2 linked regions of the Anolis sagrei genome follow. The protein of the gene in region 1 interacts with the protein of each later gene in a pairwise test. Links are inferred from orthologs where the notes say so. Each region holds a gene or a part of one and is shown in the gene's direction. Other genes may lie near its edges.

The links.
Region 2: the proteins of CREB5 (region 1) and FOSL1 interact in binary tests that used the Homo sapiens proteins (3 or more experiments, as listed by UniProt). The two-hybrid records come from large-scale screens. The link is inferred for Anolis sagrei from reciprocal best matches to the Homo sapiens genes CREB5 and FOSL1.

The regions. Positions count from the first base shown.
Region 1 is NC_090026.1:90,392,767-90,401,139, reverse strand, and holds the start of CREB5 (cyclic AMP-responsive element-binding protein 5), read left to right. Parts: upstream 1-5,191; 5' UTR 5,192-5,279; intron 5,280-5,410; exon of another isoform or gene 5,411-5,496; intron 5,497-7,822; exon of another isoform or gene 7,823-8,141; intron 8,142-8,373. UniProt on the Homo sapiens protein: Binds to the cAMP response element and activates transcription.
Region 2 is NC_090032.1:9,501,585-9,509,656, reverse strand, and holds the start of FOSL1 (fos-related antigen 1), read left to right. Parts: upstream 1-4,830; 5' UTR 4,831-4,942; coding exon 4,943-4,999; intron 5,000-8,072.

The DNA.
Region 1 (8,373 bases):
CAACCCTAAGGCAAACCTGTCACAGGGTTTCTGGAACTGAGAGTGTGTGATTTGCCAGAGGTAATCCAGTGGGTTTCCATTTTATTTATTTCATGTTAAAAGCTTTGCATAAAATAGTCTATCTAAAACTGATAAAATGGTTTACCCAAAATTGATAAAACAAAGGAATCACAAGCTGCTAGATAGGTTTAGACCAAAAACAGGCAACAGCAACTGCATTGTCTGTAGCTTTAAACAGTTCTTCCTCTGTGCATGAGGCAGGGTAGTGTGGGCAAGCATACAGATGCTGAGTTGTTTGTTCTGCTCCACAGTTGCACAAGGTGGAGGATTCTTCTAGGTAGTGCCATTTTGCTAGGTTGTCTTTTGTTTTGAGTCTGTTCAAGGACTTCCAAGTTTCTCATTCTTGGTTTGCCCTGGAAGAAGACCCTCATGGGAGGCATCCAGTTGGAATTGCCTGATTTTTGCTGCCCACAGGGATACTCTTGCTGTTGCTGGGGGAACGTTAAGAGGAGTGGTGGTTCTTATGAAACTTTTCCTTGATTTGAGTCTGCTGGGAGGAGACTGATAGCCATATAGTGGGTTTCCAATGCCGAGCGGAGATTCAAACCTTGTCTCTAGAGTTGTAGTCCAACACTCAAACAACTACATCACACTGGCTCCAAATTAGTTGAGGAACTATATACTTACTTACTGTTACTAACAGTATGTACTCATGTATAAGTCTAGAAATTTAAGCTAAAATTCAAACCAGGCCAACTTATCTATGGTTCCATGTAAGTACTACCTTAATTCTTACACAGCCCAATGAAAAAAATAATTCTTGGTATCTTGGTTTTTAATTGGGTTGAATTTAAATGCATTAACTTGCTTTACTGCATTTGGTTCTGTGCTCAATTAGTGATTAGTAGTCTTCCATTACATGGGTAAATTAGGAGCCCCCGGTGGCGCAGTGGGTTAAAGCACTGAGCTGCTGAACTTGCTGACCAAAAGGTCACATGTCCAAATCCAGGGAGCAGCGTGAGCTCCCGCTGTTAGCCCCAGTTTCTGCCAACCTAGCAGTTTGAAAACATGCAAATGTGAGTAGATCAATAGGTACTGTTCCCAGTGGGAAAGTAATGGCGCTCCATGCAGTCATGCTGGCCACATGACCTTGGAGAAGTCTACGGACAATGTCGGCTCTTTGGCTTAGAAATGAAGATGAGCACCAACCTTTACCCTTTACCTTGGTTTTTAAGTCTGTTCCTGGAATTATTTGGAGTGCTGATTAAGAAAACTACATTGGATAGAACACATCAGCTCTAGCTTCTCAGATTTGTTTATCATGGTTTTATATAGTAAATGTCAACTGGTAGATGCCATCTGTTCTGTCTCTCAAAAATTGGAACTGAAGCATCGACAGGGGGAATCAGCAGGTCAAATATACCCACAAACAGAATGAACATTTGAGCGCCAAAATGTGTTTTGGCCATTGTTGTCATTAAAGACAACATCCCCTTCTCTGACTAGAGTGGTTAAAAGCAAGAGCTTTAGTCCATTCTGGGAGAATCTAACAGAAGCACCGACTCTATCTATTCTCTCTGATATAGAAACAATTTTGGTATTTATGAATGACTGAGCAGAAAAATGATGGCCAAGGATGGTCAGCCCCCAGGAGGCAGCATTGAAACTTTCCCCTTTCCGTTGAATGAATAAAAATCAATTATTTTGGTCCCAAAGCCTACTCATGACTTATACATATGGCCAGCATATACATGGGAATATATTGTACTTTCGTCCCAATGAAGAATCCAAAACTGGCTAACAGCACCTATTAACACCAAGTTTGGCTAAAAAAAGCAAATGACCTCAAGCACAGATGAACAAATTTAAAAGAACTTTTCAAAAGGTAGTCACATTGAAACCAACCACAGGATTAATATGATGTAAAAGCATTCGAAACCTAAAGAGTGAGGGAGTGCAACACCCACTTTTCCTTCTTTCAGAAGCCCTGCACCTCAAGTACATTTTGCAGAATGAAGTGACAGGTGGTTTTTCATGCTACTGTTGCATCTGTTACATTCCTGTATGTCAGAGGGGCCTACAGAGGGGGAAAAAAATAGAAATTTACTATTTCTCTGTCTTCTAGTTTCTTTCAGGGTGGGCCCATTTTGCTGAGGAAAAGGACAAGTTACTTTCCCTTTCCAGCAGCCTACACCAGGCAGTTTTATTTTAATTCAACACTTTTTTGCTTTACCACCCTTGAGAGCAACTATTTCATCTGATTCGCTGTGTGGCACACACTGGATTGCTCCCCGAAGAGAGAGGCCAGGCTGGGAGACTCACAAGGAATGGCAAGAGCAATTTCCTTCCCTGTGTAGAAGTTGAATTGTCAACCTACTCATCACTTCCAGAAAGAGACATGTTTGTAAGCAGCTGAACTGGATCCCAGTCCACATCACAGTACATCACGGTACAATTCAATATGTTGGTTTTAAAATTTAATAGCCTTTCTGGCTGGGCATCCTTCATTGAGGTTGTCTTCCAAAGTTCACTTCCAGATGCCTGCCTTTGGATGATGAATTCAGTGATAACGGGCGCGACTGGTGATGGTGACTAGGGCTGGATCTACACTGCCCTATATCCCAGGATTTGATCCAAGATTATCTGTTTTGGACTGGATTATATGAGTCCACATATTCTGGGATCAAATCCTGAGATATAGGGCAGATCCAGCTGTAGTGCCCTTCCACACAGCAATATAACACAGAATATCAAGGCAGAACTTCCCACAATATCTGCTTTGAACTGGGTTATTTGAGTCCATACTGCTATATATTCCAGTTCAAAGCAGATCATGTGGGATTTTATTCAGCTATGTGGAAGGAGCCTTCTTAGGGCCCTTCTGCACAGCCATATAACCCAGAATATCAAGGCAGGTCACTTGATGGCCTGATAGGTGTATTGTGTCCAAATTTGGTGCCAATTCATACAGTAGTTTTTGAGTTATGTTAATCCCACAAACGAACCTTACATTTTTATTTATATAGGCTAGCCATCCCCTGCCATGCTTTGCTGTGGCCCAGTCTGTGTATATGTGTGTATATATTTGTGTATATTTGTATATGTGTATGGTTTTGTGCATGTGTTATAATTTTTTTGTTGTTTTTTGGCTTTTTAAGTCCCTTCCACTGTGTTTTTCAGTGTTTTATGAATGATGGTCACTAGTTGGCCTGATAGGTGTATTGTGTCCAAATTTGGTGTCAATTCATCCAGTGGTTTTTGAGTTCTGTTAATCCCACAAATGAACATTACATTTTATTTATATAGAAGATTAGCTGTCCTCTGCCACACGTTGCTGTGGCCCACATGGGGGTTCTGTGTGGGAGGTTTGGCCCAATTCTATCGTTGGTGTGGTTCAGAATGCTCTGTGATTGTAGGTGAACTATAAATCCCAGCAACTACCACTACCAAATGTCAAGATTCTACATATTTTCCCCAAACTCCAACAGTGTTCACATTTGGGCATATTGAGTATTTGTGTAGAGTTTGGTCCAGATCCATCATTGTTTGAGTCCACAGTGCTCTCCAGATGTAGGTGAACTACAACTCCCAAACTCAATGCCCACCAAATCCTTCCAGAATTTCCTGTTGGCTGTGGGAGTCCTATGTGCCAAGTTTGGTTCAATTCCATCATTGGTGGGGTTCAGGATGCTCTTTGATTGTAGGTGAACTATAAATCCCAGTAAGTACAAATCCCAAATGTCAAGGTCTATTTTCCCCAAACACCATCTGTGTTCATATTTGAGCATATTGAGTGCTTGTGCCAAGTTTGGTCTAGATCCATCATTGTTTGAGTCCACAGTGCTCTCCAGATGTAGGTGAACTTCAGCTCCCAAACTCAATGCCCACCAAACCCTTCCAGAATTTCCTGTTGGCTGTGGGAGTCCTATGTGCCAAGTTTGGTTCAATTCCATCGTTGGTGGGGTTCAGGATGCTCTTTGACTGTAGGTGAACTATAAATCCCAGCAACTACAATTCCCAAATGACAAAATCAAAACTTTTTGAGTGAAGAACAAACATTGGGTTGTTAGGTATATGCTGTCCAAATTCGGTGTCAATTCGTCCAGTGGTTTTTGAGTTCTGTTAATCCCACAAACGAACATTACACTTTTATTTATATAGATAGATAGAAGATGGCAACAAAAACAATGTTATGCTTGGTGGTCACCACAACATGAGGAACTGCATGAAGGGGTGGCGGCATTAGGGAGGTTGAGAATCACTGGTGTAGATGCACCCTCTGAGAACTGAACCGGGCAAGTTCAGACCACATCTGGAATACTGTGTCCAATTCTGGGCACCACAATTCAAGAGAGATATTGACAAGCTGGAATGTGTCCAGAGGAGGGCGACTAAAATGATCAAGGGTCTGGAGAACAAGCCCTATGAGGAGCGGCTTAGGGAACTGGGCATGTTTAGCCTGAAGAAGAGAAGGCTGAGAGGAGATATGATAGCCATGTATAAATATGTGAGAGGAAGCCACAGGGAGGAGGGAGCAAGCTTGTTTTCTGCTTCCTTGGAGACTAGGACGCGGAACAATGGCTTCAAACTACAAGAGAGGAGATTCCATCTGAACATTAGAAAGAACTTCCTGACTGTGAGAGCCGTTCAGCAGTGGAACTCTCTGCCCCGGAGTGTGGTGGAGGCTCCTTCTTTGGAAGCTTTTAAGCAGAGGCTGGATGGCCATTTGTCAGGGGTGATTTGAATGCAATATTCCTGCTTCTTGGCAGGGGGTTGGACTGGATGGCCCATGAGGTCTCTTCCAACTCTTTGATTCTATGATTCTATGAAGTGGGACAGACTCCCTTTCCCCTCCAGCCTGTTTCCAGCTTCCTTCCCTCCAAACCCATCAAGCTGGGAGATAGTTTCCAAGATGACTCACAGGGCGAATGGCAGCGCGTCCAGGCTGTCACCCATCCCCAGCCAGGCGGCAAGCTCTTGCTTGCGCCGCTTCCCCTTTCCGACTCAGCCCTCCTCCTCCTCCTCCTCCTCTCTTTGCCTTGTTATGGAAAGCCGGTGGGCGTGGCCGATCCTCTCCGAAGCCCCGCCCACATCCCCGCCCCCGCCCCGCCCCCTTCCCTCCAAGCCGGGACCGCAATGATTTAGAAGTTCAGGAATCCCACGTGACGTCACGGAGGGGTGATGTAATGCTTCTCTAAATAGATCGTATTGTAACCTTCGCGCAGTCCAACGTGGTTCCTCCGCTCGGGCTGTTGGTCCCTTCGCCTTGCACTTGTTGGGTAAGTCCCGAAAAAGACCCAAAGCGCTCCCGGCTGGGTGCTTTCTTGCCTTTCTTCCTTTTTCTCCCCGAACCCTGGAATGTTTTGAAAACTCCTGAAGTTGTGGCTTTTGCAGAAAGAAAGATTGGAAGAGTTGGACTTTTTTGTTTTTTTTACTTTATTCAGCGACAGGGAAGGAAGGGAGAAGGACAAACGCTGAGCGGAGAAAGAGGCCAAAGTAGAGTAAAGGGAGCTTTTATTTCCTTTCGTGTTGTTTCTCGCGCGTGTTTCAAGGCGATGGGTTGGAGGGTTTGCCGCTTTGGGAAGATCTGGGAAAGGGGAAGATGCGGCCAAAGCTCCCCCCCCCCCCCAAGTGTCATTCCATGGGAATCAAACCCTTTGGAGTCCCATCAACCTGGCCTGAAAGTTTGGAGGCGCCAAAAAAAGCACCAGGAAGACCCCACGCGTGGGCTGAGCCCCTTCCCCTTCTAAAGGCTGCTTTAGTTGGAGAAGGCGCTCTGTATACGCTCAGGAACAGTTTACTCGACTTGGCGTCTCTTGCCGCCTTGTTTCGGGAGACCCAACCTAAGTTGTTGTAGGTTTTTCTGATTATATGGCCGTGTTCTAGAAGCATTCTCTCCTGACGTTTCGCCTGCATCGATGGCAGGCACCCTCAAAGACCTCGCAATGGCCTGAGCCCCTTCCCCTTCTAAAGGCTGCTTTAGTTGGCGAAGGCACTCTGTATGCGCTCAGGAACTGTCTTCTCGCCTTGCCATCGCTTGTCGTCTTATTTCGGGAGACCTAACCTAGGTTGCTGTAGGTTTTTCGGGCTATATGGCCATGCTCTAGAAGCATTCTCTCCTGACGTTTCGCCTGCATCGATGGCAGGCACCCTCAAAGACCTCGCAATGGCCTGAGCCTCTTCCCCTTCTAGTTGGCGAAGGCGCTCTGTATACGCTCAGATACAGCCTTCTCTCCTTGCATCGCTTGTCGCCTTCTTTCGGGAGACCTAACCTAGGTTGTAGCTTTTTCGGGCTATATGGTTGTGTTCTAGAAGCATTCTCTCCTGACGTTTCTCCTGCATCGATGGCAGGCATCCTCAAAGACCTCACAACCTCTGAGAATGCCTAACACAGATGCAGGCGAAACCTCAGAAGAGAATGCTTCTACAACATCGCCATATAGCCCGAAAAACCTACAACAACCCAGTGATTCCGGCCACCAAAGCCTTCGACAATACATTAGCCGTAACCTAGGCTTGCCCCCCCCCCCCTTTTAAGGCAAAGAGAGCTGTCAATATTTGGGGTGCATGACTTATTGTGAGTTTCCCGGGCTGTATGGTTGTGTTCCGGAAGCATTCTCTCCTGACGTTTCGCCTGCATCGATGGCAGACTTCACAACCTCTGAGGATGCCTGCCACAGATGCAGGCGAAACGTCAGGAGAGAATGCTCCTAGAACATGGCCATACTGCCCGAAAAACTTACAACAACCTAGTGATCCCGGCCATGAAAGCCTTCGACAATACATTAGACCTAACCTTGACTTGCCCCTCCCCCCTTTAAGGCAAAGAGAGTGGTCAACATTTGGGGTGCATGATGGGAGTTGAAGTCCAAAACACCTGAAAGGCCCAAGCTTGCCCATGCCTGGCCTAGATGCATCCAAATGTATTGTCGAAGCTTTCGTGGCCGGAATCACTGTTTTGTTGTGAGTTTCCAGGGCTGTATGGCTATGTTTCATAAGCACACTCTCCTGACGTTTCGCCTGCATCTGTGGCAGGCATCCTCAGGGGTTGTGAGGTCTTTGAGGATGTACTGTCGAAGGCTTCCATGGCTGGAATCACTGGGTTGTTGTAGGTTTTTTGAGCTATATGGCCATGCTCCAGAAGCATTATTTCCTGGCGTTTCGCCTACATTTATGGCAGGCATCCACAGAGGTTGCGAGTTCCGAAAAATCTACAACTCTTTGAGGATGCCTGCCATTGATGCAGGCGAAAGGTCAGGAGAGAATGCTTCTTGGACGTGGCCATACAGCCCGGAAAAGTCACAACAAACTAGTGATTCCGGCCACGAAAGCCTTCGACAATACATTTGGGTGCATCTAGCCTAGGCATGGGCAAACTTGGGACCTTCAGGTGTTTTGGACTTCAACTCCCATCATTCCTAACAGCCTCAGGCCCCTTCCTTTTCCCCCTCAGCCGCTTAAGCGGCTGAGGGGGAAAAGGAAGGGGCCTGAGGCTGTTAGGAATGATGGGAGTTGAAGTCCAAAACACCTGAAGGTCCCAAGTTTGCCCATGCTTGATATCAATGCTATGGAATCATAAGAGTTATAGCTTGACCCGATCTTCTTTGGGACTCAAACTTTTCGACTGCGGTCCACCCCCTTGGGCTGTCAAACCCCGGCGCTGTTGTCGATCTATCTATTTGGTTGCTAGGCGGTTGCCTGGCTCTGCTCCTCCTGCCCCCCCTCCCCTCCCCTCCCCTCCCCCCGGGACCGGGTCGCCCCCGCCCAGTCTGACATTATCTTTGGGAGCCTGGGCCATGACGTCATGCTGCAGGCGAGCGGGAGAGTCCGGGGCTGATTCAGAGGCGCCGAAGACCGGGGCTCACGGGGAACGAGGCAGCCGGGGAGGCTGAGCCCAAGCAGGGCTTACCTGGGCCGAGACCAAGGCCAACCCCGGCTGGGTCCTTGGCTGGGAAGGAGGGAGGGAGGGAGGGAGATCTCCCCGCTCCACGCCGCTTTCTCCCGCGGGAGAGCCTGGGCGCGTGGGCGGGGGAATACCTGCTGGGTCCTGCGTCCCGATCGCCTCTCGACAACTTCCCGGCAGCAAAGGCAGGCGTTTCTTCCCTTCCTCCCAATCCGGCGCTGTTGCACCAAGGGAGCAGGTAAGCGACGCTGGAAGTTTCTCCGGTGCGCCAGCGACGGGATGAGGAAAAGTTTCTGAAGTCGCTACAGTCAAGTTGCAGTGCTCGCGAAACGGAGTTTCCTTGGACTCCCTTCCTTCCTTCTCCACTCTTTCCCTCTTCCCTTCCTCACTCTTTCTTTCCTAGCTCTTCCTTCCTTCCTTCCTTCCTTCCTTCCTTCCTTCCTTCCTTCCTTCCTCACTCTTTCATTCCT
Region 2 (8,072 bases), on another chromosome or scaffold:
TGATGATGATAGAATTCTACAATTTGAAGAGATCCAAAGGACCATCCAGTCCAACCCCTTTCTGCTAGGCAGGAAGATATTATCGAAGCCCTCCCAACAGATGGCCATCCAGCCTCTGCTGAATAACCTTCAGAAGGGACTCTATCATTATAATTATGATCAAATATGATGACGATAGAATTCTACAGTTTGAAGAGATCCAAAGGACCATCAGTCCAACCCCATTCTGCGAGACCAGAAGACACAATCAGAGCCCTCCCAACAGATGGCCATCCAGCCTCTGCTTCAAAACCTCCAGAGAAGGAGGTCCCATCATCAAAGATTATTATGAAAGAATCACAAAGATGGAAGAAATTCCAAGAGCCATCCAGTTCGAACCCAATTCTTCCAGGAAGGAAGACACAATAAAAGCTCTCCTGACAGATGGCCAATCACCCTCTGCTGAAAAACCTCCAGAGAGGCAGATTCCATCATCGTCAAAGATTATTATGAAAGAATCGTAAAGACAGAAGAGATCTTAAGGGCCATCCAGTTCAACTCCCTTCTACCAGGAAGGAAGACACACTCAAAGCCCTCTTGACAGATGTCCATGCAGCCTCTGCTGAATAACCTCCAGAGGAGACTTCATCATTATAATTATGACAAAATACGATGATGATACAATACTAGAGTTGGAAAAGACCCCAAGGGCCATCCAGTTCAGGAAGAAAGACACCATCAAAGCCCTCCCAACAGATGGCCATCCAGCCTCTGCTGAATAACCTCCAGAGGAGACTCCATCATTATAATTATAATAAAATACAATGATAATGATGATGATGATGATGATGATGATAATAATGATAGAATACTAGAGTTGGAAGAGACCCCAAGGGTCATCCAGTACAGAAAGGAAGACACACTCAAAGCCCTCTTGACAGATGGCCATCCAGCCTGTGCTGAAAAACCTCCAGAGGAGACTCCATCATTATAATTATGATTAAATACGATGATGATGATGATGATGATGATGATGATGATGATGATAGAATACTAGAATTGGAAGAGACTCCAAGGGCCATCCAGTCTAGGAAGAAAGACACAATCAAAGCCCTCCCGACAGATGGCCATCCAGCCTCTGCTGAATAACCTCCAAATGCTACTCCATAATTATAATTATGATCAAATATGATGATGATAGAATATTAGAGCTGGGAGAGACTCCAAGGGCCATCCAGTCCAGGAAGAAAGACACCGTCAAAGCCCTCCCAACAGATGGCCATCCAGCCTCTGCTGAATAACCTCCAGATGATACTCCATAATTATAATTATGATCAAATATGATGACAATAGAATATTAGAGTTGGAAGAGACCCCAAGGGCCATCCAGTCTAGGAAGAAAGACATCATCAAAGCCCTCCCGACAGATGGCCACGCAGCCTCTGATTAACCTCAATGCTCAATGAAATATCCTTCCTAATATTTAAACATGGCTCTCGTCACTCTGTACATGCTCAGTCAAACTGCATTCATCGTACAGATGCACTCTTTCTGCACTGACTAGTTGATGCAGTTCGATGCTGGCTTCCCTGGGTGAGAGTGAGTTTCACGGTCGAGGTTTCCCCGCCTTGGTTGGGCTCCAAAGGGGGAAAATAGGGGATTTCCCTGCCTTGCCGGCCCACGAGTTTGTGAGTCACCCTCCTGAATGCCATCTGGATCAGGCCGGCAGGACGAACACGTGTCTCTCGGCATGGAGTAACTGGGGATTTGGCCTACTTTTCATAGCAACTCTCAAGCAACCAGAAAAGACATTTATCTGGCATCTACCAAAACCCATGGGTGCCGGTTAACTGGGAGTCTGCAATATTAGATCCATTTTATAGTAACTCTCAAGCAACCAGAAATGACATTTATCTGGCATTTCCCAAAACCCATGGGCGCCAGTTAACTGAGAGTCTAATATGTTAGGTCTATTTTCATAGTAACTTTCAAGTAACCAGAAATGACATTTATCCAGCATCTACCAAAACCCATAGGTGCTGGTTAACTGAGAGTATTTTAAGTCTATATTTCATAGTAACTCTCAAGTAACCAGAAAAGACATTTACCCAGCATCTACCAAAACCCATGGGGTGCCAGTTAACTGAGAGTCTTTATGTTCAGTCCATGTTTATACCAACTCTCAAGCAACCAGAAATGACATTTATCTGGCATTTGCCAAAACCCATGGGCGCCAGTTAACTGAGAGTCTAATATGTTAGGTCTATTTTCATAGTAACTTTCAAGTAACCAGAAATGACATTTATCCAGCATCTACCAAAACCCATAGGTGCTGGTTAACTGAGAGTATTTTAAGTCTATATTTCATAGTAACTCTCAAGTAACCAGAAAAGACATTTACCCAGCATCTACCAAAACCCATGGGGTGCCAGTTAACTGAGAGTCTTTATGTTCAGTCCATGTTTATACCAACTCTCAAGCAACCAGAAATGACATTTATCTGGCATTTGCCAAAACCCATGGGCGCCAGTTAACTGAGAGTCTAATATGTTAGGTCTATTTTCATAGTAACTTTCAAGTAACCAGAAATGACATTTATCCAGCATCTACCAAAACCCATAGGTGCTGGTTAACTGAGAGTATTTTAAGTCTATATTTCATAGTAACTCTCAAGTAACCAGAAAAGACATTTACCCAGCATCTACCAAAACCCATAGGTGCTGGTTAACTGAGAGTCTGTTAAGTCTATTTTTCATAGTAACTCTCAAATAACCAGAAATGACATTTATCCAGCATCTACCAAAACCCATGGGTGCCGGTTAACTGGGAGTCTGTGATATTAGGGCCATTTTATAGTAACTCTCAAGCAACCAGAAATGGCATTTATCCAGCATCTCCCAAAACCCATGAGTGCCAGTTAACTGAGAGTCTAATATGTTAGGTCTATTTTCATAATTTGTGTGTGTGTGTGTGTGTGTGTGAGAGAGAGAGAGAGTGTGTGTGTATATATATATATATATATATATGATTTATTTATTCACGACATTAAGGGAACTCAGAGCTTACAAGATATATATAAATAGAATATATTATATTATTAGCATAGTACAATATCAGTATTAAATATTACTATATTGTACTATACCATTATATTGTCATATTAGTAATATTACTAATATTACTATGATAATTATAATATCATATTATTAGTATTTGTATTATATTGCATTACATCATAATATTATAATATATATATAGACATACCTACACATTATATATATATATATATATATAAAATATTGTATATATTATATATAATATTATGATTTATATATAGACATACATACATGTAATATATATAGTATACATTATATATAATATTGTATATGTAATATATAATATAATATATATAGACATACATACACATAATATATAATATACATAGTATATATAATATAGTATATATAATGTATAATATTATAATATATAGACATACATACACATAATATATATAATATAATATATAGACATACATACACATAATATATAATATACATAGTATATATAATATAGTATATATAATGTATAATATTATAATATATAGACATACATACACATAATATATATAATATAATATATATAGACATACATACACATAATATATAATATACATAATATATAATATAGTATATATAATGTATAATATTATAATATATAGACATACATACACATAATATATATAATATAATATATAGACATACATACACATAATATATATAATATAATATATATAGACATACATACACATAATATGTAATATATATAATATATTAGTATATATAATGTATAATATTATAATATATAGACATACATACACATAATATATATAATATAATATATATAGACATACATACACATAATATATAATATACATAATATATAATATTGTATATATAATGTATAATATTATAATATATAGATATACATGTTGTTGTTCATTCGTTCAGTCGTCTCCGACTCTTCGTGACCTCATGGACCAGCCCACGCCAGAGCTCCCTGTCGGCCGTCACCACCCCCAGCTCCTTCAAGGTCAGTCCATAGATATACATACACATAATATATAATATACATAATATATAATATTATATATATAATGTATAATATTATAATATATAGATATACATACACATAATATATAATATACATAATATATAATATTATATATATAATGTATAATATTATAATATATAGATATACATACACATAATATATAATATACATAATATATATATGATTGTATATAATTATATACATACATACATATATACATACACATACACATATGCACACAAATATATATTATACTACCATTGATTCAATAGCATAAGCAGACATAACAGAGTAGGTTACTGACCTGTATAGCTCATTGCTTGGATGCCGGTTAACTGAGAGTCTACTTGCAATAATTAATTAATTAATTAATTAATTGCGCCCACTGCCTCTTGGAAGGAGGCTTGTGAAGCGAAACCTATTTTCCAATCAAAGGCGCAGGTGGGAAACCTGCCCAAAGGGGAACCCTTTCCCAGGCCAGCCCAACAGGAAGAAACCAAGGCCATGTAAGGGCATCTACGTCACCGCCCCCTGAGTCACCTTTTGGAACGAACCAAGCGGCTCTCGGCAATGGGGGGAACCGCCGCTCAGGGGATCCTCATTTGTGGATCGGAGAGGGATCCTTTTGGACAGGGAGTGGGCATTCAGGGACGGGGTCTCTCCCTTTCCCACAAACGAGGCTGGGAACCCCAAGCCAGAAAGCCTGAATGGCTGTTTTGGTTTCTCTCCCATCTCGGCCACCCCCAAAGTGAGTGAGAGTAACGTGGTCCGGGAGTCCCCATTCATAAAAAAAGCAGTCAAGGGGACTAGAAGAGCTCTTTGGGAGCGTGAGAGCCTCATTGGCAAGGCTGAGATGTTCAAGGGTTTCGGAAGGGGAGCCCCTCGGCCAGGATCACAGCAGCAGCAGCAGGTAAGGCACTCTGCACATGCCCCAGAGCTCTCTCCATCTGGGGTTCTCCTCTCCTATCCCCCCAAAACTCTCCCCCCACGTGGCTCTCCCTGGTAAGGCTTGGCTCACCTTTTCCCCAGATCCAGGGAGAGGGAAGGAGGGTGTGGGGCTCGGTATCCGCGGTGGTTGGGTCCCAGGTCCCCCATATCCGCGGGTGCTCAAGTCCCATTCTATTCAATGGCATGATGCAAGGGGATCTCTTTCACTACACAACTGTACTCTCAAGGTCTGCCCTTTGGGATGCCTCTACCATCTCTTTCTATCATGTCTATGTTCTCTCATTTCTCTCACATCTTATGAGATAGTACAATCATCATCATCATAATATAATACATAATATATAATATAATATAATATTATAATAATATAATATAATATAATAATACCAATAGTATAATATGTTGGGAGTGTATTCTATTGTGGCATCATAATACAATACAATATTATATATAAGAATATGATAATTTTATATTGTCTATATATAATATAGATAATATAAAATTAATTATAAAATATAATATTATATATAATATATAAAATTAAATATAAAATATAAAATATAATATAGATAATATAAAATTAAATATAAAATATAATATTATATATATATATAATATAGATAATATAAAATTAAATACAAAATATAAAATATAATATATAAAATTAAATATAAAATATAGATAATATAAAATTAAATATAAAATATAAAAATAATATAATATAGATAATATAGATAATATAAAATTAAATATAAAATATACATAATATATATAATATAGATAATATATAAAATTAAATACAAAATATAATATAGATAATATAAAATTAAATATTATATATATAATATATAATATTAAATATTATATATATATAATGATATAAAATTAAATATAAATATAAAATATAATATGATATAGATAATATAGATAATATAAAATTAAATATAAAATATACAAAATATATATAATATATAAAATTAAATATAAAATATAAAATATAATATAGATAATATAAAATTAAATACAAAATATATAATATAATATATAAAATAGATAATATAAAATTAAATATAATATATATAATATATAAAATTAAATATAAAATATACATAATAACAACAATTTTATTGATTAGCCAATTGGCCTTATCAAGTAATATATATATTATATATAGATTTAAGTATAAAATATACATAATATATATATGAGGAAGAACTTCCTGACTGTGAGAGCCGTTCAGCAGTGGAACTCTCTGCCTCGGAGTGTGGTGGAGGCTCCTTCTTTGGAAGCTTTTAAGCAGAGGCTGGATGGCCATCTGTCAGGGGTGATTTGAATGCAATATCCCTGCTTCTTGGCAGAATGGGGTTGGACTGGATGGCCCATGAGGTCTCTTCCAACCCTTTGATTCTATGATTCTATGATTCCCTATGATATATATATATATAATATATATAAAATTAAATATAAAATATATAATATATTATAAAATATATATATTAATTATATATAAATATAAAATTAAGTAGAAAATATACATAATATATATAATATATAAAATTAAATATAAAATATATAATATAATATATAAAATTATATATAAAATTATATATAGATAATATAAAATTAAATAGAAAATATATAATATAATATATAAAAATTATTTTATATTTAATTTTATATTATATATATATTACATAAAATTAAATATAAAATATATAATATAATCTAATATATAAAAATTATATATAAAAATGATATATAGATAATATAAAATTAAGTATAAAATATACATAATATAGGTTCTTGTGGGTTTTTTTGGGCTATATGGCCATGGTTTAGAGGCATTCTCTCCTGACGTTTCGCCTGCATCTATGGCAAGCATCCTCAGAGGTAGTGAAAGAACAAGAGTTCTTTCTTCCACCCTGGACATTATTCCACAGACTTGTTTAGTTTCCAACAGCACAACAACAGAGAGGAAACAAACAAGGACACCTAATCACCTCTCAACAAAAGTTTGCTCCAGGCACTGCCAGGCCATTATATGCTAATCAAGGTGGTCAGTTGAAACATTCACACCTAGCTCCAACAGACAAGAGTCCTTTGTCCCACCCGGGTCATTCCACAGATATATAAACCCATTTTCCTAGTTCCAACAGACCTCACTACCTCTGAGGATGCTTGCCATAGATGCAGGCGAAACGTCAGGAGAGAATGCCTCCAGACCTTGGCCATATAGCCCGAAAAAACCTACAACAACCCAGGATTATTATTATTATTATTATTATTATTATTATTATTATTGTTATCATAGAGAGAGATGCTGTTTACTCCTGTTGTATCCCACCTCAAGCCACAAGAAGAGGAGAGTAATTGATATTAATACTAATACTGTGACTCAAGGTGGAATACAACAGGATTATTATTATTATTATTATTATTATTATTATCATCACCATAGAAAGAAAGAGCCCCCAGCGACCCTAACCTTGTGCCGGCAAGTCTGTGGACTGAAAGCTTGGCAGCTCAGATCCGGGAAGCGAGGTGAGCTTCCATCTGTCAGCTCCAGCTTCTTATGCAGGGACATGAGCAAAACCTCCCACAGGATGGTAAAACCTGTTTATTATTTATTTATTTATTACCCATTTTTTTCTCTCTAAAAAAGAAACTCAAAGCGGTTTACGATTAAACCAATTTTTTAAAAAAACATAATTCAATATTAACGGCATCGGGTTGCTGTGAGTTTTCCAGGCTGTGTTCCAGAAGCATTCTCTCCTGATGTTTCGCCCACATCTCTGGCAGGCATCGTCAGAGGTTGTGAGGTCTGTTGGAAAGTAGGAAAGTGGAGTTTATATATCTGTGAAATAATGCCCAGGGTGGAAGAAAGAACTCTTGTCTGTTGGAGGCAAGTGTGAATATTGCCATTGGCCAGCTTGATTAGCATTGAATGGCCTTGCAGCTTCAAAGCCTGGCTTCTACCTGCCTGGAGGGAATGCTTTGTTGGGAGGTGTTAGCTGGCCCTCATAGAATCATAGAAT